Linked DNA regions of Lepisosteus oculatus. The protein of the gene in region 1 interacts with the protein of each later gene in a pairwise test. Links are inferred from orthologs where the notes say so. Each region holds a gene or a part of one and is shown in the gene's direction. Other genes may lie near its edges. The genes, in order: trim37, prc1b, si:ch211-236d3.4 and pnkp.

Evidence for each region.
Region 2: the proteins of trim37 (region 1) and prc1b interact in binary tests that used the Homo sapiens proteins (3 or more experiments, as listed by UniProt). The link is inferred for Lepisosteus oculatus from reciprocal best matches to the Homo sapiens genes TRIM37 and PRC1.
Region 3: the proteins of trim37 (region 1) and si:ch211-236d3.4 interact in binary tests that used the Homo sapiens proteins (3 or more experiments, as listed by UniProt). The two-hybrid records come from large-scale screens. The link is inferred for Lepisosteus oculatus from reciprocal best matches to the Homo sapiens genes TRIM37 and FAM107A.
Region 4: the proteins of trim37 (region 1) and pnkp interact in binary tests that used the Homo sapiens proteins (3 or more experiments, as listed by UniProt). The two-hybrid records come from large-scale screens. The link is inferred for Lepisosteus oculatus from reciprocal best matches to the Homo sapiens genes TRIM37 and PNKP.

Annotation. Positions count from the first base shown.
Region 1 is NC_090721.1:715,664-722,838, reverse strand, and holds the start of trim37 (E3 ubiquitin-protein ligase TRIM37), read left to right. Parts: upstream 1-4,153; 5' UTR 4,154-4,457; intron 4,458-5,870; 5' UTR 5,871-5,935; coding exon 5,936-6,010; intron 6,011-7,175. Other genes in the region: high affinity immunoglobulin gamma Fc receptor I-like, read left to right, coding at 1-112, 488-754, 856-1,143, 1,480-1,664. UniProt on the Homo sapiens protein: E3 ubiquitin-protein ligase required to prevent centriole reduplication. Probably acts by ubiquitinating positive regulators of centriole reduplication.
Region 2 is NC_090700.1:49,381,735-49,389,030, reverse strand, and holds the start of prc1b (protein regulator of cytokinesis 1b), read left to right. Parts: upstream 1-4,274; 5' UTR 4,275-4,511; coding exon 4,512-4,522; intron 4,523-6,352; coding exon 6,353-6,485; intron 6,486-6,587; coding exon 6,588-6,710; intron 6,711-7,024; coding exon 7,025-7,258; intron 7,259-7,296. Other genes in the region: vps33b (vacuolar protein sorting-associated protein 33B), read left to right, coding at 624-743, 1,684-1,757. UniProt on the Homo sapiens protein: Key regulator of cytokinesis that cross-links antiparrallel microtubules at an average distance of 35 nM. Essential for controlling the spatiotemporal formation of the midzone and successful cytokinesis.
Region 3 is NC_090699.1:47,312,688-47,320,200, reverse strand, and holds the start of si:ch211-236d3.4 (actin-associated protein FAM107A), read left to right. Parts: upstream 1-4,492; 5' UTR 4,493-5,378; coding exon 5,379-5,402; intron 5,403-7,513. Other genes in the region: protein FAM3D, read left to right, coding at 1,641-1,699, 2,081-2,131, 2,561-2,645, 2,947-3,073, 3,522-3,608. UniProt on the Homo sapiens protein: Stress-inducible actin-binding protein that plays a role in synaptic and cognitive functions by modulating actin filamentous (F-actin) dynamics. Mediates polymerization of globular actin to F-actin. Also binds to, stabilizes and bundles F-actin.
Region 4 is NC_090718.1:4,412,593-4,420,165, forward strand, and holds the start of pnkp (bifunctional polynucleotide phosphatase/kinase), read left to right. Parts: upstream 1-4,572; 5' UTR 4,573-4,855; intron 4,856-6,753; coding exon 6,754-6,880; intron 6,881-7,573. Other genes in the region: alpk1 (alpha-protein kinase 1), read left to right, coding at 925-1,087, 2,264-2,450, 3,240-3,427. UniProt on the Homo sapiens protein: Plays a key role in the repair of DNA damage, functioning as part of both the non-homologous end-joining (NHEJ) and base excision repair (BER) pathways.

The DNA of each region.
Region 1 (7,175 bases):
CTGAGGCCCGCCCTGCCTCACCACGGTGGGCAGTACTCCTGCCAGGGCCTGCGGGCACGGGCCTGGCCGCAGCGCAGCCTGCCGAGCGAGCCCATCAGCATCCGCGTGACCGGTAAGAACCAGCAGGGCCACGATTCCTCCCTTTCCTCTCCTCGGTACCCATCCTGGCAGCTGTACTTCCTGCCAGGAGGCTGGCTCCTGTTCCCCAGACTCCCAGCTGTGAGCACTGTCTCCCGGTCTCGTGCCGCGTGCGCTGTGTGGTGCTGCAGGCCCAGCGCGGGTGACCCCGTGACACAGCGCGATTGCGGGATGAGTGAGGACAGTGGCGTCAGACCTGCCACAGGAGCTCGCTGGTGGCGCAGTAGCTGATGAATTAGAGAACTGGGAAGCGCTGAGAGGGGGTTGGCGTCTCAGGGCTGCAGGGTGGTGGCTGGTGGGGCTGGCCCAGCGGTCAGGCCTGCCCTGAGCTTGTGCCTCCTGCCCGCAGGCGGCTGGGTGATCCTGCAGACTCCTCCACAGCCGCTGCTCCGCGGCGCCGGAGCCACCCTGACCTGCCGTGTCCGCGGCAACCCCAGGCTGCAGCAGGTGGTCTTCCACAAGGACGGCCGGGTGCTGGCGAGGCAGAGCGGCCCCCAGCTGCACCTGGCCAGCCTCTCGCCCCGGGACGAGGGGCTCTACGGGTGCCGGGCCACCTGGGGGAAGAGGTGGGGCTGGAAGACTGCGGAGTCCCCCGAGGTCGGCGTGTCCGTCAGAGGTGAGCGCGTGGCCGATCTCAGATGCTCTCCAGAAAAGAGCAGCGGCTCATTCTCATGCCGCCCCAGCTGCCCTCTCTGACCCTGTCCGTCTGCTGACCAGACCTGCTGAGCGAGCCGGTGATGGAGGTGCTGACGGAGACCCCTGTCCGGCGGGGGCAGGACCTGGTGCTGCGCTGCCGGGCCCAGCTGACCCCCCGCAGGCCGGGCCTGAGGCTGCGCTACAGCTTCCTGAGGGGCGGCCAGCGGCTGGGCGTGGCCTCGTCCCAGGACCGCCACGTGGTGCGGAGCGCCGCCGCCCGCCACTCGGGGCGCTACTGGTGCCGGGCGACGGTGGACGGGCTGGGCCTGGGGAAGAGCAGCGAGCCGGTGCTGGTGCGGGTGATCGAGGGTGAGTCCCCAGGGCAGCTCGGCACCAGTGGACCAGGAGGTGGCGCTCCAGTGTGCTGTCCGAGGACACTGTGCCCCCACTCGGTTGAGAAGCTAGGCCTGGGCCCTGACTATCCCCCGGCCCTTTTCAGAAGAGTAGGAGTGTTAACCCTGGAGGCCGGGCTGGGGTTCTGCAGTCTGGCCCAGTAAGGTCACTTCTCAGCCTGATTGGGTGCCGAATCACCAGGCGTGGCCCCACAGGAATATGAATTCATTTCCAGAGAGAATGAGAAATTAAAATGTACTGGTCTGCCTGACACGCTCGGCCTCCTCCTGCTCACCTGTGCTTCATTCACAGACGAGGAGGCCGAGCTGGAGTCCACAGGGCCCAGCAGACCAGAGCATCCCACGGACCCCACACAGGCCCAGAACTCTCCCGGCAGCAGCCAGAGCCCGTCGCCAGAGACCTCGCCGTCCAGCTTCTGGAACCTCACAGAGTCCTCAGCATGGGAGGCCATGACCCCAGGAAATACAACTCTGTAAAGATTCCCTTATTTCAGCAGGGACTCTGCAGAGGGAGTTCAGCACCAGCACAGTGATAATATGCAATCACTGACATAGTACATCAGACAACTTCAGTGATTCATACTTTTTTGCAAGATAATTGGAAGCAATTAACCAACATCAATGCATAGAGGCCTAGAGGCAGTGGACCTGGAAAGATCTGTTAACCAGCCAGTCTGTCCTTTTAAAGTAAGTCAGAGACTTTGATTATTATTTCCGCATATTAGAAAATAATAGAAATACCTTTCTGCATTCCTCTGTGTTTGGCAAACCAGGAAAAGAAATTGAATTACAGCATTAACAACAATAAACGAAAATCTTGCTTTGATTCTAATCTAATGTTTGTTTTGGATTTCTCTTCAACTGTCCAGCTCTTGGTACTGTGTGGTGTAGCCCTGAGGATGAGCCTGGCTCTGCTGGTGCCAGTCAGGGGCTGGAGATGGGTGTCGGAAACTCTGAACTCCGTGTGTCTCTGATGCACAGGCCACTGGCCTTCTGCTCTCTCTGTTGCTCTGCTGGTTTACGTGTCCCGGCTCTGTTTAATAGAAGGCCTGCTGCTGGCTTTGCTCAGAGGCATAGTGACTGTGAGGATATTTTAGATGAAGCCAAAACACATGCCCATGTGTTCATGGGGATATCCTGTGCCTAACTGAAGGGAAATCTGACCTAAAGAGGAGGGAAAATTGAGTTTTCCGGATCAGAAGATGAGCCAAAATGAATCCCTGGGAACTATATATGTTGTTAATAATAATGTAATAATAATAATAATGTTTCTTTATTAGCCCTATACAATTTCTTGCATTAGGAATTCGTCTTTTCACATACCCCAGCTTTTCTCCAAGGAGACACAGACAGGGAGAGAAGCTTGGGGTCAGAGCGCAGGGTCTGCCATTGTACGGCGCCCCTGGAGCAGTTAGGGTTAAGGGCCTTGCTCCGGGGCCCAACGGAGTAGTCACAGAGCCACTGCTCCGCCCGATTTGCTTTATGCTTGATATGATACGATATGATATATGCTTTCGGTGTTGTTACTTTTGTATCCCAACAGAAGCGTTTATTGGCGGGAGGGCTGTTGATCAAACGTGGGTTTTAAAACAGTAATGACAAGTCCAGGGCCAAGAGCAGAGACTGAGCTGCGAGCAGAGCAGTGATTATTGGGTTGAGCACGGAGGGTGGATTCCAGTTGTCATTCCCAAGAAAGCCTACAGGGATCCTCCCTGCGAGTGAGAGCCGAGGTCCCGATGGAGCTCACCTCACGAAACGCTTCAATTAGCCCGCGGTCACCTGAGACGTCAGAACCGGCTCGTTGATCAAGGCTCCCCGCAGCCAGAGAGGATGATCCGGCTGCGCGCCCCCCCCGGGCATCCCGCATTTAGCATGTGGGTCACTTCCCCCTGGAGAGCAGGGGAGACCTCCTGCGTTGCAGAGCGAGGCTCCTCCGCGGGGGCGTCACGGCAGAGCCGAGCCTGGAGCATCTCACCTCCGCCAACCCCTTCGCAAGGAACGCTTAACGTTGAGCCCAGCAGGCACCAGGCTCGAGGCTGGACACCCCCAGGACACACACAGGGAGAATCCGCCTGCTGTTGTACCCGGGAGGAAACCCAGGAGAACATGCAAACTCCACACGGAAGGCGCACCAGGTCACAAATCAAAGCCAAGACCCAAGACCTGTGAGACAGCTTTGCTAACTATTGCAATTATGACACTCATATATGTCTCAGCTGTATTTAATGAATACACCTAGTAATTTTATTAATATATTGAAGATTAAGGGTGCCTATAATTTTCCATTATGGAACTGCGTTTCAGTTTGCTGCATACTTCCTTCAGTTAGGCGCAGCTATAATAATATACGTAGCTTGTCTTCAATTTCACGTGTTGGCATGTAAGATTAAATGATAAAGACATTGATATTTTTGCAATGTTGTGCCGATCTAAAGGGATTTAAGGTGAACCGACGTTCGCATGCGAGCACCGTTCATGTTGTTTATCTCTCTCCGCACTGTCTGTGGTTATGCAATGAAGCGCGCTCACACGGAGACCCCAGGACCCCCACCTGTGCAGCTGGGGTGACGCGCAAGATTTGAGGACGCTTCGAACCCGCCTCTCCTGCTAACGGAAGCGCCTCTAATCCCTTTGGCTGTCTGACGTCTTTCTTTTCCCTACCCCAATTCCTGAGGAGAGCCTCCTCATTACTGTCTGGGCAGGCCGCGGGGGTGTGGCTTCAGCGGAAGCCGCTGTGATTGGATACAGATGGAAAAAGTACCAAGGCGTCGGTGACTGGCTTGCGCTCCACTCTGAAAGCCTCTCGGCACCTGACCAATCGCAGCGGAGATGTGTCACGAAAGCCACACCCCCTTCACGCCCACCAGACCAGGGGGCGTGTCCCCCGAGTTCAGGGGGAGGGGAAAAGCGACGCGGCCCTTCTGCGACGCGAGATCCCGCCCCCTCTTCTCTCTGCCATTGGCGAGCGAGGATTTCAGCGGCTTCCGGCGGCCTCGCGAGAGAGAGGTGGGGGGGGCGAAACGGTCTCCAATGGTGACCAGTAGCTGTGACTGGCGAGGGGGAAGGAGAATGGAGGTGGGGTGCAGGAGCTAACGTTTAAAAGATAGGAAATAACGGCAAAACGAGCGCTTAGGCGTTGTTATTTTCCCACCAGCCCGTTGTGTGTGTGTGTGTGAGAGACAGGCGGCGGGGTGGGTGCTCAGCGCTCCGCCCTCACCTCTGCAGAGCCGCGGCTGACCGCCCGGCTGGGCACCTCCGAGCCCCGGCGACGTAAGTACCGCTCTCCCGGCTCCCTGCATGCTGCCCAGCCCGCCTCTGGACCCGGCCAGCGTCCTGGGCAGTGTGGGGGTCCGGGTTTTCCAACACCCCTGCCCGCGTCCAACCCACCGCCAGTCCTCCAGCGAGTGCCCAGCCTCTCGGCACCCCCGGGAGGGGAGGGGGCTGCGCTTCGTTTAACATCTCAATGAAGTTTGTTTTGGGTCCTTTCTTCAGTAGCAACGAGTTAGGCACAACTTGCAGAGAGCAGGTCTCCCCTGAAGGGCAGGCGGGCTGTAATTTGCTGGATAGCTAAAGCCAGACGCAGCAGGTTTCGGAGGAGCGCTGTGTCTGGGAGCTGCCTGGGATGCACCTCAGGACAGACCCCCTGCGAGACTCCATACCTGCAGCGTTCAGGGCCGCTCGCAGACGGCCCTGTCTTCTTCATTTTGGGTCTCTGCATAGGCGTGGAGAAGGATTGCTAAGCCTGTTTCATGGTTTGCCAAACACAAGCCGCTCAGGTTAGATATTTCCCGATTTACCCCCCACAATTAGAATCCCCAAAATGGCGAAAGGCATCCGCACGCTTCGTGTTTTGAAGCCACGTTTTCAGGCTGCCGTGGGTAAAATACATTTTTGTGGAGGGATGAGTGTGATCTAACGCAGAGCTGGCAGGTTGCAGTCTCAGTGGTGCCTGAGACCTGCCCGCATTGTCGTTACAAATAGCCTTGTGCCTGAGTCCGAATGCGCTTTACGTGCTAAATCTCGTCTGAAACCCTGCAGACCCCCAGAAATCTGGCGGCAGGTGTTTGAGCTCCTGCCCATTTCCCAGAAGAATGGACGTCTGGGCTTTCGGAGGGCTCTGACCACAGTTTGTAGCCATAGCGCTTTCGAGTGATTACAACCCTCAGAGCCAACAAGCAACCCTCATAAATAAAAATAGGGGCGAATCGAGGAGCTGGAGAATCTCTGCCTTTTTAAGCAGTCACATGGAAGGACTATACCATTTTGAAAAGAGACTAAGTAATTTAGAGACAAGAAATAAATTATATAATGTGAACAGGTTGGTATACTGTCAGTATCCCAGAGGTATTAATCTCTAGAGGTATTATGGTAAGGCCCTAAAGAAGTGCAGAAGGCGATGCCATTTTCACCGTTTCTCTCTGACACTGTGTATCTTGTAAGTGCACTAAGCTTGAAAATGTTTTCCGTCACGTATTTACTCTTCTAGATATACTGTACACTCAGAATGTGGTTTAAAGGATCAAATAGCTTGTGTTCATTCTAATTTAAAATCCTTTGCAATATGAGGTTTGGATGGTGGCTTGGATAGCATGCCAGTGCTTGGAAAGTTTAAAGAGCCTATTTTGTCTTAACGTTTGTTAAAGGCAGACTTCTAAGTCTTATTCAGTAATGCTCTTTTCACAGGTGTTGGGTTGAGCGGCTTTTTGTTTTCCACCTGAGGATACCAAGCAGGTTGAAAACCGTCTGAAATGGACGAGCAAAGTGTGGAGGTGGGTCAGAACGTGGGCGTCCGTGTAGCAGGAAGTCCTGGGTCTGCCTGCTTTGTGAGTTAAAATGAAGAGCTCTTGCCTTTACCTTAAGGGTTTCTCATTTTCTTTAAACCTGAGTTTGAACCTAAACTGAGTTTGGGTGCAGGTACAAACCCCAGGGCATGTCTGCAGTAGACTTATTAGGTGGATATCTTGGTTATTGAAGAAGCAGGTGATGGACTCCCCACACTCCCCTTTCTGACTGTATGCAGCCTGGTGGTTCTGTGATTTTAAACCTGCCCACTCCCATGACAGCTTTATTTCAAACTAGCATTTCACTCTTCTGAATACAGTGAGCTCAGCCAGCTCTTTAACTGGATTGGGGTCTGACCTTAATGAGAATTGATTTCATTTGCTGTGCTAGTATGAGTTATTTGAAGGTCTTAACAAGTACCGCCAGGGTTTGTTTTAAGTGTCAGTCATTCCCTTTTGCAGATGATGATAAGAATCCTTTTGTTAGTATTTTACCTTGGTTAGATAGTGTTGTTCATTTTAAAGTTGGATTTGCTGTTATCAGAAGAGCTCTGCTGCAGTCCCAGTCTGAACACCAGGACAGCATGCACAGCTTCTCTGAAATCTACACACAGAAGACCTGCTCTTCTCAGACTGTCAACTCTTAAAGCTAATGGAAATGCTGGTTAATTGCCATGGCAGAAAGCTCAAAACCATGTGCAAGTTTGTGCATTTGTAACCTAACACCTCTTGTCCAGTTATCTTTACTTTGCTATGGGTTCATGTTAGTGTAAAATGTGCGCCAACAACCTTGGGACAGTGGAGCCCAGCCTGCACTCCAGGTGGTGGCTATATCAGATTGAGGGAATTTCCCAGCATTTCATATAATGTATATCCACCCCATTTGGAATGGTGTGTTGTGTTTAAGACGGGACTCTCCAGCCATGACTCCTGTACCCCCTCGGGAGAATGAATGAGATGCATGGGTTTGCTCCTCCGTCGAGCCCACCAGCTGAGCCAGCTGTCCTTTGGCTCCACAGACCCTTGCAGGAGGTTTGAGCCTCTCAGAGGAACAGTCAGCCTCCAGCCCATATCACTGCCAGCCTGCAGGCTCCCAGCAGGTTGCAGGTGTGGCCCTTGGTGCTGGGAGAGCCCAGCTCACCAATACTAACCCTGCAGTGTCAGCGCTCACACAGAGACTAGTGGCAGAGCGGAGCATGGAGCTCGA
Region 2 (7,296 bases), on another chromosome or scaffold:
ATGTAAGAGCAAATAAGTACAGGTTGCGCAGCAGACATTTCACCGCAGAAATGTTCCAATGTGATGTGCACGTAGAGTTAACAGTATTTGTCCTCAAAGCCTGCTTGTTTACAATGTATTAAGACCGCAACACGTCACCGGAGTCTTGTTCTCTCGTTCTGATTACAGAATATGGTGCTGTGCCTACCTGGAAATTTCTTCAACTTGTGATGTTCATGGAGGTTTTACAAGTTACTGTGTACATTTCACTTTTAGTCTGGTTTGAAATGCACTCGTTAATGACGATTCTTTCTAACCCCGCAAAATAAAAATAGCATTGCCGTTCCACTTTAACTCCTATTAAGAAGATGTTGCCCAGATAAGATAAGATCACTTTATTAGCCATGTACAATTTCTTGCCTTAGGAATTTGTCTTTTCACATACCCCAGCTTTCTCTCCATGAGACACACAGACAGGGAGAGAAGCTTGGGGTCAGAGCACAGGGTCAGCCATTGTACAGCGCCCCTGGAGCAGCTGGGGTTAAGGGCCTTGCTCAGGGGCCCAACGGAGTTTAGGTTTTCTCACTGGATGTGGGAGCCCCAGAGAAACCTGCCCCCAGCAGACACCCCTGTGTGTGTTCTAGCAGGCAGCAGCGAGGAGGTGAAGCCGAGGAGTGACTCCCAGAACACCATCCTCGTCATGTTCCTGGGTGGCTGTACCTACTCAGAGATCTCAGCCCTGCGCTTCCTGGGGAAAGAGAGAGGTGAGGAAGTCGTTCTTGAAGGCTTCTAATAAGAACACAAATACAGTGTTAGTGATTGTTTAATTCTGTTTGTAGGGAATACAGATTCATATTCACAAGGATGGCTTTGTTTTTACTCCACTTTGTAGTGGAATTAAATGCAACAAAAGAAATGGTTAACTGCACAGATGGTGCTCAGAGTTAATGGGGGATAACCAGGGGTGCAAATAACCCAGATCATATAATGTATTCATAAAAAATCAAGCAACAGCCCTCCATACTAGACATAGCATTAATCTCTAGTTTTAGTGGAATCGTTACAATTCTCATCTCTTCTAATATCCATATTGCAATCATCTGCTTTCATTAACTGGGTGGTGCAAACCTGGGAGGGAATCTGTAAAAAAGCTATTTGAATACAGTAGCTTCATAGCCTTTCCAGGAAGTGACTGTCAAGCATGCTAGGGCAGGTACGTGTGTTAAATATCTGCTCCTCCACGCTGAGGTGTGCAATTGGGAAGATTCAAGTGCACATCAGGCACAGGAATAAATAAAAAAATATGGAATGGATTTGCCTGTAAGGTATAGCTACATTTCAAACTGCATTTCATGACTGTTTCATGATTTCATAGTCGTTCATTAAATACCTAAGCAGAGATAATGTACAGGCATAAAGCTCACCTGGCATGTGGCCCTTTCTACAGCTCCATAATAGTTCAGGTCCTTAACTCTTTTATTGATCCTGATGGTCAATTAAAAACATGAGGAGTTGGTTTTTGCACGGTTCTCAGACAGAGTGGTCCGGAAGGGCCTTAGGATGAGACTGAAGTCTTTGAGTACAGCACGCGTTTTCTGGTATGATTTCTTGTGACTAAATGTAACCTAAATTAAACCAGAAACTCAATTCAGTTTTATAGAACAAAAAAGTTTTTAAAAAAACTGTCCTTTAATTTTTTTTTAGGATACAGGTTCATCATCGTGACAACAGCCATCACTAACAGTGCCCGACTGCTGGAGGCGTTGTTGGATAGTTGAGAATGACTCATCTACAGCACTTCCATAAACGGACACCAGGGGCGCTACGACAACAGAACAGTGATTTCCACGAGAGAAAACTGGGAGCTCAGGCTGCAGATTAAGATTCCACAAGGCATTTCTCTGTAAAAAAACAATTTCTTCTTTGATTCTCTTGTTAATATATTGGTAGAATATATAACTATGATATTTAAGCATTTTTCATATCAGAGGAGAGAAGAAAAACTTAAATCTCTTAAAAAGATAAGATTAATACTCCTTGCCATCCATTTTTATCTTGTGTAATTAGATACTGATGTTAAATTTGTAGTTATGATGCAATGCTAGAGTCTTTAGGACCAAAGAGCAAGCAAATCTTATTTTCCATTCTACAAGACAGACTATCCATCTACCTCTCTTTTATTCCTGCTAAGGACTGAGGCAGCCCTGAGTCTGCCTGAGCACAAGACAGATCAAACCAGTCCATTTCAGGGCAACATGAAATCAAGTGAATTCCAGAAAAATAACTGCAGACCAGGTTTAATACACTTCATTTTTAACTGTCCTACATTTGAACAACATTGATATAAGCCAGTAAACAAGACACTGGTCACACAAGTTTCAGTATAAAAACAAGAAAACTACATTAACTGGCATGGTATTACTTTCTTATAATTGTCTGGATTTGTTTCCCTTCTCTCAAAAGACTGCAAGGAAACAAATCTAGCAGCTTCAGTGTGAAATTCATAGCAACAGATTTTTTTTTTTCCCCGACAAGCACTTTGTACAGTCAGTGCTGTGAATATGGCATATGTTTGATTCTCTACCTTCCATTTGTCCGTGGATAAGAGCATTAGAAAATTCTGCAGGGATGGCAGCCAACATGTAAGAATCACATCTGGGTGTGGTGCGGTGGCTCTGTGACCAAGGATCTGCGCCTGTGGCTGGAAGGTTGCCAGTTCGTATCCCACGGCCAGCAGGGGGAATCCTACTCCGTTGGGCCCCTGAGCAAGGCCCTTAACCCCAGCTGCTCCAGGGGCGCCGTATAAATGGATGACCCTGCGCTCTGACCCCAAGCTTCTCTGTGTGTCTCATGGAGAGCAAGTTGGGGTATGCAAAAGACAAATTTCCATATACAATAAATTGTATATGGCCAATTAAGTGATCTCTCTGTACGTGTGCAGGTGTTGCGTCTCCTGGCTTGGCAGCACGGCCATTGATGGAGCCTGTGCATGATGCAGCAGTGGATCAGATGCTGAGCTGCTCATATAAGGAACGATTGTCTTCTTCATGCACCTTACTAATGGAGGAGCAAACATGTCTGCACTGAATGCCCAGATATCCCTCAACAGCTGTAACCCCCCACAAGGAATGTGATCACATCAGAAAGAACAAGTGGTCACACTATGTTGCACTGAGATATTTCAGATGAGTTAATTTCACAAATATATGAAACATATCTCATCACTACATAAAAAGATGATTCTCGGTGGTCGTACTAAATTAAGACATTTCTACTGTAATTTTTCAAGGGGAAATTCTGTCATTGTTTCAGTATGACAGAAATAGACAAGTCCGCTCTCATTAACAGGGCATGTTGAAAAGAAATTGCTACCATCACCTAAACTGGTTCTAGGCCCTGGCTTAGGAATGTCTTTGTCACCAAGCTCCTGTTGAAAGACTGGTATAACGAACTTCTGATCATATTCTTTGGGTTTGAATCCTCCCTGTGCTTGGATTTCTGAAAATGGTGAAGCTGGATTTTAACAGAAGCGGAAGAGAATGTACACATGGGGTGTTGAGGACCAGATTTGAAGATGAATAAAGTTTTCAGTTGTAAATATTTTTGATTGCATCATTTATTTAACATTTTTGCCAAACTTTACAAAGTGGCTCTGGACACATTCAAAATACAAAGAACTTGAAATTCTCAATTTGATCGCAATCATCATATTTTCCTAATTATAAAGGTAAGGGCACGCCTGGTTCTTTTTAAAGTGTGCATTTACGTGACGTCATCAGGGAACTACTGCAACTACTATGGAACTTGTATTTTAGGATGAAAGATTTAAGGGTATTTTTACCATGTGGATTGTGATTGAATTACAAATTCAAATGAATAGATTAAACATAATTTTACCGTAAAATTATACAAGACGAAATGCTTCGTTCTACGATCTAGTAACGTTTTACACAACGAAAAAAGTAGTGCGGATTCGAGCTCTGTTCAGTTTTATTGAACTAGAAAATTCATTTTTTTTCACGTGTCCAGAGTTTCCGTTCATTACATGTGATTTAACTTAAAATGCAAAACATTTTCTCAACACACCAATTATTACATTTATGCAACATAATGTAAGAGATCGAAAAGGTGGTTTAAAAAAAGAAGCAAAAGCACAATTAGACGCAGAGAATGCACATGAACGCAAAAACAACTGAATCGTGTACTGTATACTTCCAACTACAAATATAATTTCGGTGTCTTTTTTAAGGCCACCACACCATTCCTTACCTAAACACCCAACCTGGAAACACGCCGGATATACGCAACCACGGCCAGAAATGCTCCTGTTGCTATGGTCCTGATGACGTCCCGCCTGTCCTAGCCAATGGAAAGAGACGACTGTTCAGTCGCAGCATTTGAATTGAAAGAGAAACGGTCAGAAATTTCCCGACGAAGCCTGCATGCAAAAGACTGCTGTGAAAAAAAGTATATCAAAAACATAGTAAATAGGAGAATCAAGGGGATCTTTGAGGAATACGAGGAGTCTCATCATGCGCAAAAGGTAAGTTATTAAATGTTTTTTTTTATTAAACATGTTTTTTTTGGTTAAGTTAACTTCCGAAATTAATCAGGTGGCATAAAGAAAATGTCAAATACTAGGCAGCCGAGTTTTGATCGTGTCTTTTTATATCCCTCTGTGCTTTGAAGGTCCAACCCCGCATTGCAGTTGTTTATTAGCGTCTCGAATCAAAACAAACATTTGGTTGAGATCCCTAAAAGGAAAATTAACCGCACTTCGTACGCATACGACCGCAGGCGTCCTCAGTCTACAATACTCGAAACAAAGTCGCTTTAAAAATACACGTCGCTTCGAGGCCAGCAGTGATTTCGTTTCAATGGCACCAATTCATGCTCATGAAGCGAACATTGATGTCCATCCCGCGACTGCTTCGGGAGTTCTTCTAGAATGTAATACTGAATTAAATGCATCATTCAATATTTCGTGTACCTAGATACGCGTTGAATGCTATGATCTCAAAAACACGCCATGTTATTACTAATTATTAATTTATTTGAAGTTTGTATTCAAAGCTACTAATACTTGCAGCCATTTCTACAGCTGGGTATGTGTAATTGGAACAGGCTTGATGCAGTGCCTTGCTCAGCGTTACAACAGCAATGTCTCGCCTGGAGTTTGAAGCCAGGGCCCTAATCAAACTACAGCCCCAATGTATAAAGCTATGGTAGCTAATTGAAGCCGATAATGCTACAAGTGCCAAAAAATGAACTGAAGAACCTAATCATCTTTTACATTTTCCTACTGCGTCACTAAGGGTGGAATTGCACCTGTTTTGTGGGTGTAACCTCAGAAAGCGATAATGGTGCTAGTGCTGGTATATTTATAGAAAGCAAATCTTTATACATAATCCTCCTTATGCAGTCCAGATACAATATTGTGAGGTATTGTTTTTTTAATTTAAATATTTACGACATCCATCTTATCGCTGCACAATACAATAATCTTACAATAATCGTGAGGTTGAAAGTTGAATGTGCAGGTGTTTGTCCTGTTAAAGATCTTATTGGTTCATAATGTTCTGCATAAACAGTACAAGGAATAAGGGCCCAAAGTCTTAAATTTTCTTTTTCTGTTTTAAGTGCAAAGTCTCTTCAAAAGTTTCTGCAAGGCAATAGAACTGTCGCTGAGCAGTAATCAATTCCAAAGACATTAGTTTTTAAAATTCAATCTGTTTGATCAAATGTTGCTTTGAAATAAACCACTACACATTCAGCTGGTGTCGCAGCAAACAAAGGTGGTTTAATCCACTCGTTTTTAAACAGAATCTTCTTATTTACATTTAAAATCTTTGAAGAGACTGGCACAACAGACTGGGTGTGTCTTACCCAGGGGAGATTAGAGCTTTAGTAGCTGTTACAAATAATTAACATTCCAATATGGTGGAGTAACTCTAAACCAAGTATGCTGAATACTCTCACAGTAGCTCTGAAACAAAATTCTGTTACAGGCTAGTCAAGTAAATGAGGGCACATTTTTTCAAACCTAGTTATTTCTAATAAACTGTAAGTCTAAAGCATAATGTTCATGTTGTTTTCTGAGACTGCAATATCAAAGTATTCGGAATAAAACAACAGGTCCTAGATGCAGAACAAGCACTTCATGACTACCAGATTTCCCTGAAGTTAAACTGGTTTAATGCAGCCAGTATGCCTTTTTTGATTGCTATAACCTTAATAATTGGGATATTAAATATTAAACACAAAGGGGTATGCAAGAGTGGGATCCCTGCTTTGTAAGTTTCATACTAGGGTTGTTCTTGGGTGAGCTTTGACCATTATCACGGAGCTGACGGTTGAATTCTTGCTTTGCCAGTGAGGTTCTGGCTGCAGAGTCTGTGGCATGTCTGAATAAAGCCCTTTGCCGACTGAAAGACATCTGGGAGGAGATTGGGATCCCAGAGGACCAGCGATTGCAGAGGACGGATGTGGTAAAAAAGCACATTAAAGTGAGTACTTTGAGGCTTTAAACTATATCTGCTTGCCTAAGTGCCACGCATGTGGATAAGTGAGATAGTAGTCGCAGAACCAATAAGAGATCATTTCCACAGGGGCTGTTGGACATGATGATTGCAGAAGAAGAGAACCTCAAGGAACGGCTGCTGAAGAGTATTGAAATGTGCCGCAAAGAGCTGGATGTGCTGTGCAGGGAGCTTCACCTGACATCGTTTGAGGTAACTGCAAAAAAATCCAGTTATTGCAAGCGTCGGATACTGGTACGAGTGATGAAGGAAACCAAAGTGAAGTGTTTTGTGCCATACGTCCTGTTTCTGTCAGATACATTTTGGAAGTTTAGTTTAGAAGTTTGTTGTGTGGTGTAGGTTACTTAATCACTTATACAATCAAAAAAAGCTCAAATTTTTGTTTTGGGTAACCAGGGAGTGGGGGAACTTGCATTAGCTTAACAGTTGCAGCAGTTTTGGCCCGAGTCCTGGCCTGTTATTCGCATGCCTGTCTTTCCAGTCGTTAAAGAAGCTCTTGTTAACAGGAAGAAGAAGGCAGCACAGTGCTGCAGCTGGAAAAGGATATTCGCACGCGGCTGGAGGTGATGTTAAAACAGAAGAATCAGAGAATGCAGGAGCTAAAGGCACTGAAAGAGCAGGACCAGGACCTGTGTGACATTCTGTGCAGCGATTCCTACTGCATCGACAGCGACGCCGTGCCCACCCTGGAGCAGCTAGACCACTTCCGCCATCACATTGCCAACCTCGTGGCAGAAAAGGTCTGTTAGTCTTAATCTCTCCCTTAATTCATTCCTAC
Region 3 (7,513 bases), on another chromosome or scaffold:
TTATTATTAGAGTACAATTCTTATTGGAAAACATTTTCCACAAAACCACAACAAATGACATTCCAGCACCACAGGATGTGTATGAAACATTCTTGGCTATCTGCATAAGTGCCCCCTTGTGGTTTGTTATGCAAATGCTAGCAATACTATCAATGAGGACTACTATTCTTGATATCCCAGATGCCCCCAAAAGTGCTCCTTATGCTGTGCGACCCACTTTGTGAGAAGAACTTAATGGTCTTGGTAGAACAACAGTGCGTGTTTCAGAGGAAACATTATCGTTGTTTCTCTTGTGCTAGTACCAGGGATACAGGGATGACCTGAGTTGATCCCTATGCTAATGTAATATGCAGTACTATAATAATCTTGAATGATTATTATCCAGTCAGTTACATGGCCTAGTGAAAATGGACATTACTCAAAATAAACCATTGAGAAGCATCTGTAAAAGCATTTCTCAGACACAGTGATTTTATCCAAAACTACCATCCATCCATTCATTTTCCAACAGCTTTATCCAATTAAGGGGAGAGTCACAGCCTATTCTGGTTAGCCAAGGGCACAAGGCAGGGTACACCCTTGAGGAACACCAAACAGTCACAGGCACACAGAGACACAATGTACTGTACACACTCTCACTCCAGGGCCACTTTTTCCAGAAGTCCATTAACCTACACCAGTATGTATAAAGACATACCAATGTCTTTGGGCTGTGGGAGGAAGCCAGAGAACCTGTAGGAAACCCATGCAAACATGGGAGAACATACAAACTCTACACAGATAGTACCCCAGAACTGAACCCAGGGCCCCAGTGCTGCAAGGTAGCAATGATAACTATTGGGCCACCATGCTGCCTCTAAACTACCAGGTTTAGTATTTTTTCTATATCACAAAAAGGTTTTTTTTAATACTTGTAAAACATAGAAAGAAACTTGTAGTGAATCTTAGGGCAGCTAGTCCACTACTTTTATCTGTTCATAATTATACAAGACTATACACTCACAATACTTAAATTATAAATAAATTGCATTTAATGTATAATATTACAGCAAGATTTAGTATCCAATATCACCTCAATTTAAAATTGAATAACGCTGAGACATTCACACCAGAGGGTGGCAGTATACTATCACCATTGATTAGATCAGGACGTTTAGACACTAGGGACTGCACTGGTGAACACAGGTGTACTGTATTAGTGTTAACATTTACTTGCCTTACGACTTGAACAGTTACTTCAAATTCTGCACTTCAGTCATTCTGATATTCCCTGAAAGAATAAACTATACATCAATAATAAACTGCCTGATCTTTCCCATTAAGAAAGCTACTGCCAGTAATGATTGTTGCAGTATGTTGAGTGTTTATAAATAAAATGAACAAAAAAGAGGACTGTTTTGGCACCAGTAAACTATAACATACCTTTGCCATTTGCATACTTGTAAAAAACATTTTTTTTATTTTATCTTTTTTTATGATATTATTACTTTTTAAAAGTATTTGATCTTTTTTTAGTTTGTTTCACTCTTCATTTTGTGGAAAAAAACAATATTTCACCACTTTTGTTTAGTATTGGAAAGAGTTGATATTGTTATGCCCTATACATTTCAGATCTGTACCTCTTTGTGTTATCTTTCCAGTGTTATGAGTAATGCATTAAATAATGTTGGATCGGGACTGAACATTTTGCTTGTAAATGGTAAGTGCAATTACTTCCATTAGAATAGGAGTGTTTAGGTTATCAGCAAAATTATATTCAGTAAAAGGTCTGCAGACATAATGAAGCTCTACATTCAAGTTGTTAATTGTACCATAATTACTGGTTTTATTCGGAAGGTAGGTTTAATCAAATGTTTTTTAAAATATAATGTTGATTTTAAGTCATATAAATTGTTACTCTTATGGTTAGAGTATTAATTTCAATGACATTTAATTCACAGAAATTTCAAAAAATATTTTAAAAACATTTTATGAAAATGTTGTAGAAAACTTGATAGCAGAGATGATATAACTACTCTTTCGAAAGACTACAAGAAAATAGAATTACCATTAGATTAAAAACATCTTTCTTGGTTTATAGGGCAGACTGGGGAAATAATTAAGGCTGAATCCTTTAACATGTATGCTGGAGGTAAGATTTCCTTTATGTGTTAAGTTTAGGTGCGGATGTATCTTCTCTCAAGGTAACTGCTGAAAGTTGACAGATGAAGTTTAATTAGCAATGACTATTCACTAGTAAGACATAAAGGACTCCTTTGCACTATGTAGTAAGAAAATCAAGAGTTTTCTGAAAGTAAGAAAAGCAGCATTAAGCAATTATAAATGATATTGTAGTGCCTTGCCATTTCACAACAAGCCTGTGACTGCTTTCCTTTAAAAGCCTTCACTTCTGAATGCATTAAAATAATAAAATGTTTCTCTTGCTATATTTTGGAATTGATTTAAAAAAGATTTGTAACTGTAGATATGCATGTAATATTATTAGCAGTGGCGATATTGGATATAGTATATATTTTTTTTTTATTTCTTCATTCTAACTGAATTAGTTATATTGTCATAGATGTCAAAGGACTACTGGAATTCCTTAAAGCAATAAAGCCTGGGACAATTATTATAGTGGCTTCATATGATGAACCAGCAACAAAGTAAGTATTACGATGGTGAATATTTTTTTCTGAATATGAATTTCTTCATTTCTGATGGAAGAAATAATCCTGTTTTATAATATGTCTTTATATTTTAAAATCACAATCAATATTGTTCTCTATTAGGTTTTTTAGAGTTTAGAGAACCTAAATGTTCTCTAAAGTTATGGTGATTTTCATCTAGTTTTGAAAGTTCCATGTTTACCAGATAGTCTACCTGTGAAATCATTATAAAATCATAGCAGACAAGAGTACAGATAATTCACATTGTGCAAGCTAAGCCTTTCTTTTTTTCTTTCAGCATGAATGATGAGATCAGAGAAATATTTACCAGGTTTGGAAGTAGCATGATAAAATCAGTGCAATATCGAGATAACTGGCTTTTCATAGGAGCTGAAGGAATTGAAGAGAAGAGTCCATTTGAAAAGGTAATGAAGTCTGAAAATATTAAACATTTGCATGAAAAAATGTTCATTTTGTAAGTAATCATATGATGCAAAAGATAAACCTTAAAACTAATTAAAAGTAGTCTATAAATGCAAAAATAAATATACCATAAGTTACCAACACATAAAGTGCAATTTATAACAACATGTTCCTGAGTTGAGAGGTCACCATAACTTAGTATGGTTGCCCAAACCTAGAATAAACTGAACACCAGCCCTTTCCACACCTCACGGAATGTTAAGTATAAATGTGTGCATAATAGTAAGTGAATACTGTGTTATAAACAGTGCTTTACTTCAGTTCAGTGCCACAGCAATCTAAGGATAAATTGTACAAACTTTGTTGGCATAATGACAATTTTTGCAACAACAATAATCTTCCACTATTGCCAGGTAGCATTTTTTCATGTGTTTTACTTATCTGTTGAAGCATTTGAAAAATGCCCAGGATACAAACATCTATGATGGCTGGCCTGAGATGATTGAAATGGATGGATGTTTTCCTAAGAAGATATAACAGATGTACAGTGGGGCTCAGACTGACAGCATGAATCACGTTAAGTTAAATATTGCAAAGAAAGATTTTGTTTGTGATCCATTTCTTATATTCTTTAGCATGCATTTTGTAAGTTCCATTTTGTCAAACTTATCTCTCTGTGTCAATGCATTACTTTTCAAATGAAAAATGTGTTAAAAGCTGTTAAAAAAGGTCAACAGTACAGACACTCAAACACTTGGGGTGAACTCTGTTCCCCACCATTAATAAATCAGAACTTGGAAGTTCAGTCATTAAGCACAGGATTGGTGCTGTGTTTAATATGTTATTGACTTTGAATCTTTGGTTTTGTCTTTTTTACATCGAAATGTTGTTGAGGTCTAATTACACATTATATGTAATGTAAAATTCAAGTTTATTTATATAATTGAGGTGTTGTGCTGTGTTAGTATTTTTGCTGCACAAATGAGACTGACTTGTCTCTCATTTTCTACTGAAGGTTTTTGTCTGAATAATAAAATTAAGAGAGTTCTCAAGCCTTTGTTAATTTGTTTCCTATTCCACTGTTCATTCAGCTCTGACACTTTCACTTTCTTTTACAATTCAATGTTTAATTACTTTATAGTCTGTATTCCCCTTGAGACAAACATTGAAAAAAACAACACAGGTTATCACACTGGAACTCAAACTTTTTCAAATGTTTTCAGACAACTTTTGACTGAGAACAAAAATGTTAAATCCTGCATGATAATTATACATCTCCTTATTGCACCAAATTACTATATATTATATTTACTGTTCAATGGTGTGTATTTAGTTTTTAAAAGACAAATGTTTACTTCCTGGGTTAGCTTTACAGTTTATCAATCCACGCAATACTTTTGTTCCACCTTAAGCTTTTAGTTTCCTCAGTCCTGCTAACAAAGCGCATTTGATAGAGGAACAGAACAGTTTCATTGTGTGAGGCAGCAGCAGTGTGTTCTGCTTGTAGGCAGCAAAGAGGTTTTATAAAGTTCAAGAAGTGCCCATTTGTGATGTCATTAGCTAAAGCTCAAACCAGAGGCTCCTCTACACCCAGCTGCTCTGAGTCCAGGCTGACAGACAGGGAGAGTGCATTTTCATTTCAATTAGTTTTCATTACTATTAAGTTCTGTGAAACAGATCCTTAGCAGAGGATTGAAAAACAGGTACGAGGGATAGTACTGTACCTTGCCTTTAAATCAATGACTGTCTCTTTCTGTTTTTCCAAGCTATAATAGTCATTTTCCTGCAGTGAGGCTCTCTGTAAGACTGGCCATGTGCTCTCTGTGGTATCCTGGCCTGTCAGTGGCAATTAACATAATCTTCACTTATGTTCCTAAGCCTTTAAGAGTGGGGAGTCAGCCATGCACAGGTGGCCAACCAGGTTCTGTTCTCTTTTGTTATTTATAAAAGTGATCTTATGCTCTCACTAGGTGTGCTGTAGGAACTGTAGTATGCCATCTTCCCTTATTGTGGCTTCTGTCACCATTGTAGACTGTGGTCACTTCCAGGGACCTGGTGCTGAATGTGCTTACTTTAAGATCCTGCTGATCTAGCCTGCCAGTTTCTGTAGAATAACCTAGAGCTGTCAGGGAGCCAGGGACTGTTTTTTTTTACACTCTCTGCTGCAGCCTGTGCCTTCTACAGATTGTGTGGACAGCAGCACTCTGCTAGCAATACAGAGGCACAGTAAAGTGGAAACTCCTTCTCCGGACACTGCTAATAGGTACTCCAAGAGACTCCAAGGACGGCACACAGGGACCAGACAACATGGGAGCAGCTCATGGAAAGAAAGTAAGGAAAATGATCCCTTTCTTATGTATTTGCTGATTGGGTTTTTTTTCCCCTGAACTGGAATACTAGCACAAGTGTCAATATGGAACATTTCCTACTGTCGACCATTTTGAATTAACTATTTAATAACTGTTAAACTGTTAAGCACCTACAACTACCAGGACAAAATACAAACATGTACAAAATGAAAAAAAAAACTTCTATTGAATTCTGTAAATAGCAGGCCATGCTTGAAGCTCAAGGATTTTAGTATTTACTTATAAATATACTTATACTGTATGTACTGTATAAGGTCTCTTGTTTTTATGGACTTTCTACTTGTTATCCAGAGGAGTAATCTTTTTTCAATTTAATTTATTTTAAACAAGAAATGAAAATAGGAGCCAGACAAATACAGAATAAACATTCAGAGTTGTCTTAGGTTCAAAAAGAATTTAACTGATTCAACTGTACTGTTATTTAATGAAAGACACGTTGTTTTTATCATAGTAGTAAAAGTCCACGTAACTGTAGATTAGATAATTTTTAGAATAAAATGAATGTGGGACTTGCATCTTCCTCCAGAACCTCAGAGCCATTTTAAGTCATACAATGTCATCAACCACCAAATTGCCATTTACAGCAACACTTCATCATGACATTTGTAACACACGTATAAATACTATAACACTAGTTGAACTACAGATTCACAAAGTCCCAGAGACTGTTTTATTAACCAGTGAAACAGTATTGCAGCTTTACAGCAAGCTAGCCCTGTCAAACCCAGCAAGCACACAAGTTAAAGCTGAGTAAATTCCCAAATATTTAAACTATGGGGTGGAGCATTCTAGCTGAGGGCAGGGAGAGAGTGTGCAATTAGAGGTCAAGGAGCAGGCAATGACAACTGACAGCTGCGCAAATCAATAAGCTTTGTGGCTGTAAATAAGGAATGTTTTAGGAAGTCCAGACTATATAAAAACTATTTTTTAAAGGTATTTTGTAAAATCTTGTATAAGCCATTATTGTTTTTTATAGTTAATATCTACAAGCCCCTGTCATTCTACAGAATATATTATGCATCATGAGTACATATAAAATACGTTAAATGTAAATGTCTTGAACATAAGTTGTAACACAAGAGTAAAATAGTCCTGCCTGTATTATCAGGGGTGAATACTATATAGTTTGCTATTGAACAGATGAAAATAAAATGATTGGAAACTAACATTTGTTCAAAAAGGATAGCAACAGTCCTGCTGATTATGCGTTTTTCAACAAGATGAAGAAATTAAATGTTTTATATAAAATTTTGAAATTTCAGCTTTCACAATTACTCAAGATCACAGAAAGAGAGATCTAGGACATGACACAGAGCGAAATGATCACAACACAGTTAATCTCAGAGCAAACAATGGACATGCGGGGTGATTTTCCCCTATTCTTCCAAAGAAAGAAGCCTTCCAAGGAAACAAGATCACCATTAAAAATAAGTATGCAAAACTGCTGGTCTCAAATTTATCTAGTTCTCCTTCTAGCTAGCATATACAGTACACCATACTACCCTGAAACATTATGCTATGTGGAAATGTTACCATGCTATACAAGGTAATCCAAATGTCATACTAATGTGTGGTTTTTAGTGTGACTTCTAAATAAAGCACTAAACAGAAGCAAGTATTATTATGTTTTACATAAGTATTAAACCAAACACGGACCTCATAATAAACATATAAACAATAAAAACAAATATGTACTGTACAGCAATATAAAGATTTTGAAAAATATCAGCTGCAGCTGTTACCTACAGTAGATGATCATTAGGTCTGATATCTACATTTTGCCTCTACAGTGTACCTGCTTATCCAATAAGTAAAGGAATGTGCAGGCTTGGCTGGTAATCCACAATTGTACTGGACTATACCAGCAGTCTACAGCTTGCTAGAAATGCCAGTCTGAGTGATGGCTGAAATTTCATCCATGTTGCCATCATCCAGACCCTTCAGGAGTTTTGTGAATGTGCCAGAGGTGACATAATACAACATGTGCTTTAATAGAGTGAAAATGGTATATAAGTTACAGAAAGCTTAAAAAAGTCACATTATTCTAAATTAAATTTTATAATAAATGGATTA
Region 4 (7,573 bases), on another chromosome or scaffold:
TGTCTCCATGGAGAAAAGCTGGGGTAGGCGAAAAGACGAATTCCTAATGCAAGAAATTGTATAAGGCTAATAAAGAAACATTAACATTAACGAAGCAGAGACGTCTTTTTCTCTTTCTCTCAATGCTACATGCGAGCTGTAAAACACTGCCTTTCATGTCTGCCAATATGAGATAAAACGAGTGATTACTGAGACGACAGAGGTATGTTTGTAAAAAGAATCGACTGTAAAATTACTATAATATCTGAAAGAAAACAAAAAGCTGTTTATTTGGCTCTGTAGTGGGGGTAGTAATGTAACTCTGTTCAGAGAGCTCCGCGGGTGAGATTTCGATATTGCAAGATCATACCAAATCTATCACTTTCACGCGGAGAACAGCCGGGGTCGAGATATGGTTTTGGTAACTGAGTAGTTAGGTTTTGGACTTATACCTGAAGGGCAGATGTGAAATCTTTATCAAGAAGAGCTTCCTTTCGTTTTATTGACCTTTTGGATGTGCCTGGCAGGTTTCTAAAAAGGCGCGAAGCTCCAGTAGATACGTTCTGAGACTTAAGGCTTGTTCATAAGTTTGGTCCAAAAGTCTAGTTTAGCCTGTCTTAGCCACAATACGTCTAAAATCCCATATTTCAGCTTTAATGGAACAGCTCTGAAAAGCACAACAGTTCTGAAACTGTGGCGACATGTAAACCTGCTGTGTGATCTGTCACGGATCCTTAGTTTTCTCCTGTATTCGATATGGACCCTTTTCATACCATCATGCGTTTTATATACCATTTAAAGAAATTGTTTCGACTGCTGTTCTTGCCGAGATCAACGGAGAAGTCTGGATTGCAAAATGCCCCAGGCTCCGCTGGTTTGCGGATTGGGTGTCGCCGACAGCTCTGCTGACACAGTCTAACCCCCCCGCGGCTGTTTCCTCTCCAGCTACGTGGGCAAGGAGTATCAGTCTGAGAAAGAGCTGCGTTATCACCTGAATGACGTGGAGCGTCAAATGACCGCACAGTACTACGTCACCGAGTTCAACAAGAAGCTGTACGAGAAGCAGATTCCCATGCAGATCTACTTTATCCCCTCAGAGGTCCTCCTGGTAAGGCTCTTTGTGCAGCAGCTGCAGACGAGAACAGGCCCTTCACAACCCATCCAGCCCCTTTGGGTAGCTGAAGGGGAACTGCGGCCCTATTTTTATATTTTGTCAAACGTTCACAGTAACTTGTAAAACCTCCAATTTATGTCGCAGAATATTATTTCCAGGCCTGCGCAGCGCCATGTTCTGCGATTCAGAATGAGCCAGCAAAACATCCGGTGAGGTGAAGTGGGCCTGATGACACTGTAAACAAGCAGGCTTGTGAATCCATCTCTTTTAGTCCAGTTAAAATATTGCTCTAGATTTCTAGACGGTTTCCCAGACAAATACTACTCACTTGTTATCTCTGCACATGCCGATCAGGTTGGAACATTTCTGCGGTGAAATGTCTGCTGCCCAGCTTGTGCGTATTCGCTCGTCCACACCATCACATCAGTCAGTACAGGGACTAGTGAGCAGGAAGGGCCGCCTCACGTCACAATTCTCACAAGCTCTCGCCCGTGGTGAGACCAGGGATTTGTAACAGCATGGTGACTTGCAGTACTTTCACAAAGTTCACCATTTCGTGCTTCATACGAAATTCGTACTTTTTTTCTATACCGTCAACAAATTTATTTTGTTACAGAGATTGAATAACTTTCTTAAGAAGACCACTGATAACTGTATTAAAATTTCATCAATTTGATTATTAAAATATCATTTCTTTCTAACCATGAAATATTAAAATAGTGTGGCAGTTCCCCTTTAATAATAATGATCATGATAAATCTTTCAATTATTGTAGCGTAACACTTTGTTTTTATAAGCTTCATGGTTTCTAGCCATGATATTTTTCAGCTATGTGGATGCTCTGAAGTGGGCATAAATGTTACCATTTAACCGTTATTAGACTTAAGGTTAAACAAACATCATGACTCCTAAATACTCTGATGCAGCCAGTGCTCAATATGAGGGGCTGATAGATACTTAAAGGGCCAGATCTTAAGTAATTTGAATGAGAAAAAAAAATAGATACCAGTCTGGAATTGGGCAGGATGAGTGATATGAGTTTGTAATGCAAAAAAAAACCCCGTTATGTTTATGCTTTTAATTTTTTTCTTGCTTTTTAATGACTGTTAAAAAAAGTTTTAAAAATGCGACTGACAGCGGACTTTGAACATTTCCCTCGTTTGTGCTTAGATTCTCGAAGACAGGCTCATAAAAGGATGCGTGAGCGTGGAGCCATACATGCTGGGGGACTTCGTTAAGCTAACGAACAACAAGAAGACCGTCGTGAGGGACTACAGAGCCACAGACTACGGGATAGCGTTCGGTCATTTCACCTTCGAGTTCTCGGGCCACACGGAGATTGTGGTTGACCTGCAGGGTGAGTTGGGGGAAAATGCTGCTCCCGTGTGTAAGAGAACTGCAGCGCTATTTCATATTTCGCGGTCAGAAAGAATCGGCATTGATGTAAAACCCCTGATTTACTGTACATCACAGAATAGACTGAATGTCCACGTCTGGGCAGCGCCATGTTCGGAACGAGGCAACGAAATGTCCCGTGAGGTGAAGCTGGTCTTGACAAAATGTATCATCAGTTGTATTGTTAAGCGCCTTGGGGCAACCTTGTTGTGAAAGGCGCTATATAAACATAAATTGAATTGAATTGAAGCGGCCTCACTATTACAAGCACCTTTTACCAATTATTATTACACTATACACAAGCAGGCTTGTGAATACATCTCTTTTAATCCAATAGAAATATTGTTCTCCATTTTGAGGTGGTTTTGTGACAACAACTACTGCTTGCTTGTTAACTCTGCCTGCAGATCACTTTGGGACATTTCTGTGGTGAAATGTCTGCTGCACGACCTGTACTTATTCGCTCGTCCATCACAGTGCATTAGTCATTTCAGGGACTAGTGAGCAGGAAGGGCCGCCTCACGTCACAATTCTTACAAACTCTTGCCCGTGGTGAGTCCAGCAGTTTGCAACGACACGGCGACTTACAGTACTTTCACAAAGTTCCCGATTTTGTGCTTCATTTGAAAGTTGGCAATTTTTTCTATTACGTCAATGAATTAATTTGTTACCGAGATGTAATCGCCGGCCTGAGAAATGGGGGACTGGAGTTCCCCTCTAAAGTCACTTTTTTGTGTGTCTTTTCTTGCAGGCTGGGTTACGGGAAACGGAAAAGGATTAACCTACCTCACAGACCCACAGATTCATTCGCTCAAGAAACCCAAATCTTCCTCGAATTTTTATCGGCAGGGCATAGAGTACTTCCTTCAAGATCAGCATGGAGCCGACTGCAATGAAATCTGTCAGATGCTTTCGCTCGGGAAACTTCCAGGGATGTAGGAACGTCCGAAAACGAGAGCTGCCCGTCGGCTCACCTGGCTCGTCAGGGAGCTGTCGGCTTGTTGATTCTAGGATCTTAGCCGGCTGTTTCCTGAAAGAAGCCAGGAGTATTGGATTCGGCAACTTGTTCCATACTCCCACTACCCTTTGGGTAAAGGAAGTACTTTTGGTCTAAAGAAGTAGTGCCCGTTGCTCTGGTTCGTGCTTCAGTGTTGATGCCCAAGACGTCCACTGTCTTGACTCTTGTCAGAAACACTTGAGGAGAGTTTCATCTCTCAGCAGGTTAAACATGTGGAAAACCTGGACACCTTTAGATCCTGCAGTCCTTTACCTCCATTCATGAATGACGCACTTTATACTCAAGCCTAAAACTAAAATGTTATCTCAAAGTCTGTAATGTATCAACTTATGTAAATAACACTGTCCTGTCATATTTTATTGTGTTTTTATTGTGTTGGAGCCCTGGATACAAGAGTTGGTTGTGCTGTCTATGGGGAGTTTGTATTCTCTCAGTGTTCAACTCCAGGTGCTCCACTTTCGTCCCACAGTCCAGAGACATGCTGGTGGGTTTATTGGCTCCTGGGAAAACTGGCCCTGGTGTGAGTGTGCGTGTGTCTAGGTGTGACCTGCAATGGACTGGTGTCCTGTCCAGGGTGTATCCTGCCTTGTGCCCGTTGCTTGCTGGGATAGACTCCAGCTACCCCTGTGACCCTGTACTGAATAAACATGACATTCAGTACCAGCCTGCCGAGCTTCAGACCTCTGCGAAGTTTGGAGAAAACAAAATTCCAAAGATCCCCAGTTCTGTCAAATTTTCAATAAAGCAACAAAAACATGGGATCTGCTGGTTGTCATTCAGCATTTGAAAATTACAGCAGAATAAAATAGTCATTTTGAATAATTATTAAAATAATGATGCCTCTCCTGCTTTAAGTCCAAGTAACAAATACAGTAATTCCTATGGGAAGGACCACGATTTAAACACATAAAACTATAAAGTATTCTCTACATATGTACATAGTTCAAAATTGAGTAAATGAACTAGTAAATAAGTTAGTTTGCTATTGACAATGACTGTGTGGGTCGATAGCTGCATACCAACGCCAACAGAGGGTCGCCGGAACCATCTTGCGCTGAGCCGGGGGAGGAGAGGGGACAGGTTTCCAGGCGGACCCGGCACAAAGCTGGTGATGGGGGGCGTTTCGGTAGCTGTGGAGTACCAATAATTTGTACTCTGGTTTGTTTTTGTCGAAAATGTCTGCGAGTTCAAAACTAACCATATCGAGCAGAATCTGAAGTAGCATTATTGGCTTTCAAAAAGTCGCCAGTAGTACTGCATATAGGCTGTTGGTGACCATTTCACTCGCCTCAGGGGCGTTTCGCATTATTTTGTGTTTTTCCGTGATTCGGATCATTGAATTGATCGAGGTGAGTACAGCGCATCGTTATGAGCCGTTTCTGACACAGATCTGGGGTCAGCGAGTTGACTAAATTACGTGTCGCTAAAAATATTGCCAGAGGCAAAACGGTCCGTATCGGCTCATAACATTTCCGACAAGTGGGGGCATCGTGAAGATTTCACACATCTTTGCAAATGAAGAACAGTGTTTTCTAGTAAAAATCAAAGTTTAGTTTGTAGAAATTATTTTATTGTTACAGTTAGCAGCAGGTTTACATAAGCAAGCATTCAGGTGCAAAATAGTGCAGTTTATCTTGTAAAACACTCGCACACAACGACACGACAGTTGAGTAGTTTCGCGGTTCATGTACACAATGCCAAAATAAGGTGGCTTTTATCTGAATCCTGGGGACTCCACACTGCTGGTTTTCGTACCTCTAGAGCGCCTTACGTAAATATTTCATCGAAACAAGTTATTTCACTTTGATCTTTTGAAGTTTTCCGTCTTTAAAACTAAAATTTTAAACGTAGGCTTCGAAAAATAGCATTCCCATAACCTAATATGTAACGCAATATTAACATGAAAGTATTATATTTTAAGTTGTTTAAATTATAAAGGCAACCCTCAAACTACTTAGGAACTGAAGCCAACCATGATAGTTTAATTTAATTTTGTGACTAAGATAAGGGTTCAGGTTCAGTGAGGGGGACATTATACTGTAATAATGGCGCCGTCTTTCGGATGAGATATAAAACTGAGGTCCCGAGTCCCTGGTCAATAAAAATCCCAGGGTGTTTCTCAAATAAAGTAGGGATGTCCTGGGAACATTTCCACCTGGTCTTTACCAATCATGAGCGTACTGGTGTGTCATCCAGGTAGGGTGACACACTGGTGGGGGTGGAAGGGATCCCCATTACCTGTCAACAGCTTGTACTGTAGTGGGTAGGAAAGCTCTATATAAGTGTAAGGAAATATTATTGTTGTTGTTGTTACAAATGGGTGATTAAAAATTGTGAAAATCAGGAAATTAACTGATTGGTTTAGTCAATAAGTAAAATAAATAGTCATATCCCCAATTTGTAAGTTATATATATATACCCGAGCAGTTGGTATAATTAGAGGCACACAAAGTCTTTGTTCTCCAGCAAAGCTTGGTGAAAAGAGTTATATTCCAGGCACATTTGGTTAAACAACTGTTTCTTACAATGGCAAGACACAAGCTACACTACACACAACGAAACATGAAACACAGAACAGTTCGCTCTAACAAGGTTCAGAGACTTAGCTCCAGTCAGGTTTGGTTTGGATGAAGTAGGGGCTCTCGCCTGGCGCAAGCTTCGAGTTCTAACTCCTCTCCTCTCAATATTCTTCTCCTCCTGTTTCTTCTTGTGATCTGATATTGTGTGTTTCTGTACTGCTCATTAACAGCCATTAACCTACGATGTGCCTAGGTATACCAAAGTCAACTTTACATTGGCTTCTGATCAAGGGACCCCCACATCTGAACAAACAACCTCTCTGCATTGAGGTTGGAAGTGTTTACTCTGCCCAGTGTCACAGACTTTTATCGAAAATCTCAGAGACACTTCTCAGTCACCTAAACCTGTAATGATGTGTAAGAAAGGGTACTGGGTACAGCCCTGATGGGACACCAGCCCGTTGCAGGGCAGATGCAGACACAAATGTTCACACCAGGACCGATTTTCCCTGAAGCCAATTCCTTTGGAAGGAAACCGGAGCACCTGGAGAAAACCTCATGCAAACCAACAGAGAACATGCAAACTCCACACAGAACAGCACCCCCTCCTCAGCCCTATCTCTCTGTGGCTCTCCCCATGTGCAGATGCCTTGTGTGTTTTTCAGGGTTGGAAGTGCTCTCCCTCCCGGTGTGTTTCGGCGGCTCTCACCCTGTTTCTCCTTTCCCAGATGCACTGTGAGCTGACCAGTCAGTCCGAGGGCGGCCCGGCTGTCCCGCTGGCTGACGGCCGTGCAGTGATACTGGGCCGCGGGCCAGAATCAGGAGTGTCGGACAAGAAGTGTTCCCGACACCAGGGTGAGTCAAAGCTTCAACTGGGATTGATAATAATAATAATAATAATAATTGCTTACACTTATATAGCGCCTTTCTGGACACTCCACTCAAAGCGCTTTACAGGTAATGGGGATCCCCTCCACCACCACCAGTGTGCAGCCCCACCTGATTGATAGATGTGGGGGGGGGACATTGTGGGGTTCTGCAGCACTGATATCCATGTCTCACATTTGGGATAGGGGAGACGGCCCCCCTAGGCTTATATGTTGTAGCTAATTTAGCAGTAAAGTGACTTTTCTTTCCCCATCAATGACTTCCCTATTTAAATCTTCTTTCATTAGAGATAGAGCTGTGATCTACAACACCACGTTCTCTAAGTAATACGGCAGCGCATGGAAAGCTCCTGTCTAACTCCGCGTTTTTGTTATGGAGCGTGCAGAGAAGTTTTACAGTTTCCTTCCCAAAGCTATCCGTCTGAGGTTTTATCTTCCATCTGTAAGCTTTTTGTAAAGCTGCGTGATGTGGGACGGGCCTGGTTTGTTTCCACGGCTTCTGTCGCTTGTGGAAAGAGATCTGGTTAAGTTAGTTAAGGTCTGCTGTTGAATTTACCAAGGAGTTCGTTACGATAAAGGTGATCTTCTGATTCAACAAGTAGATTCCACAGTGATTTGGGCTGTTCTTTCAGTCTTTGTTCTGTATGTAACGTCTGTAGTT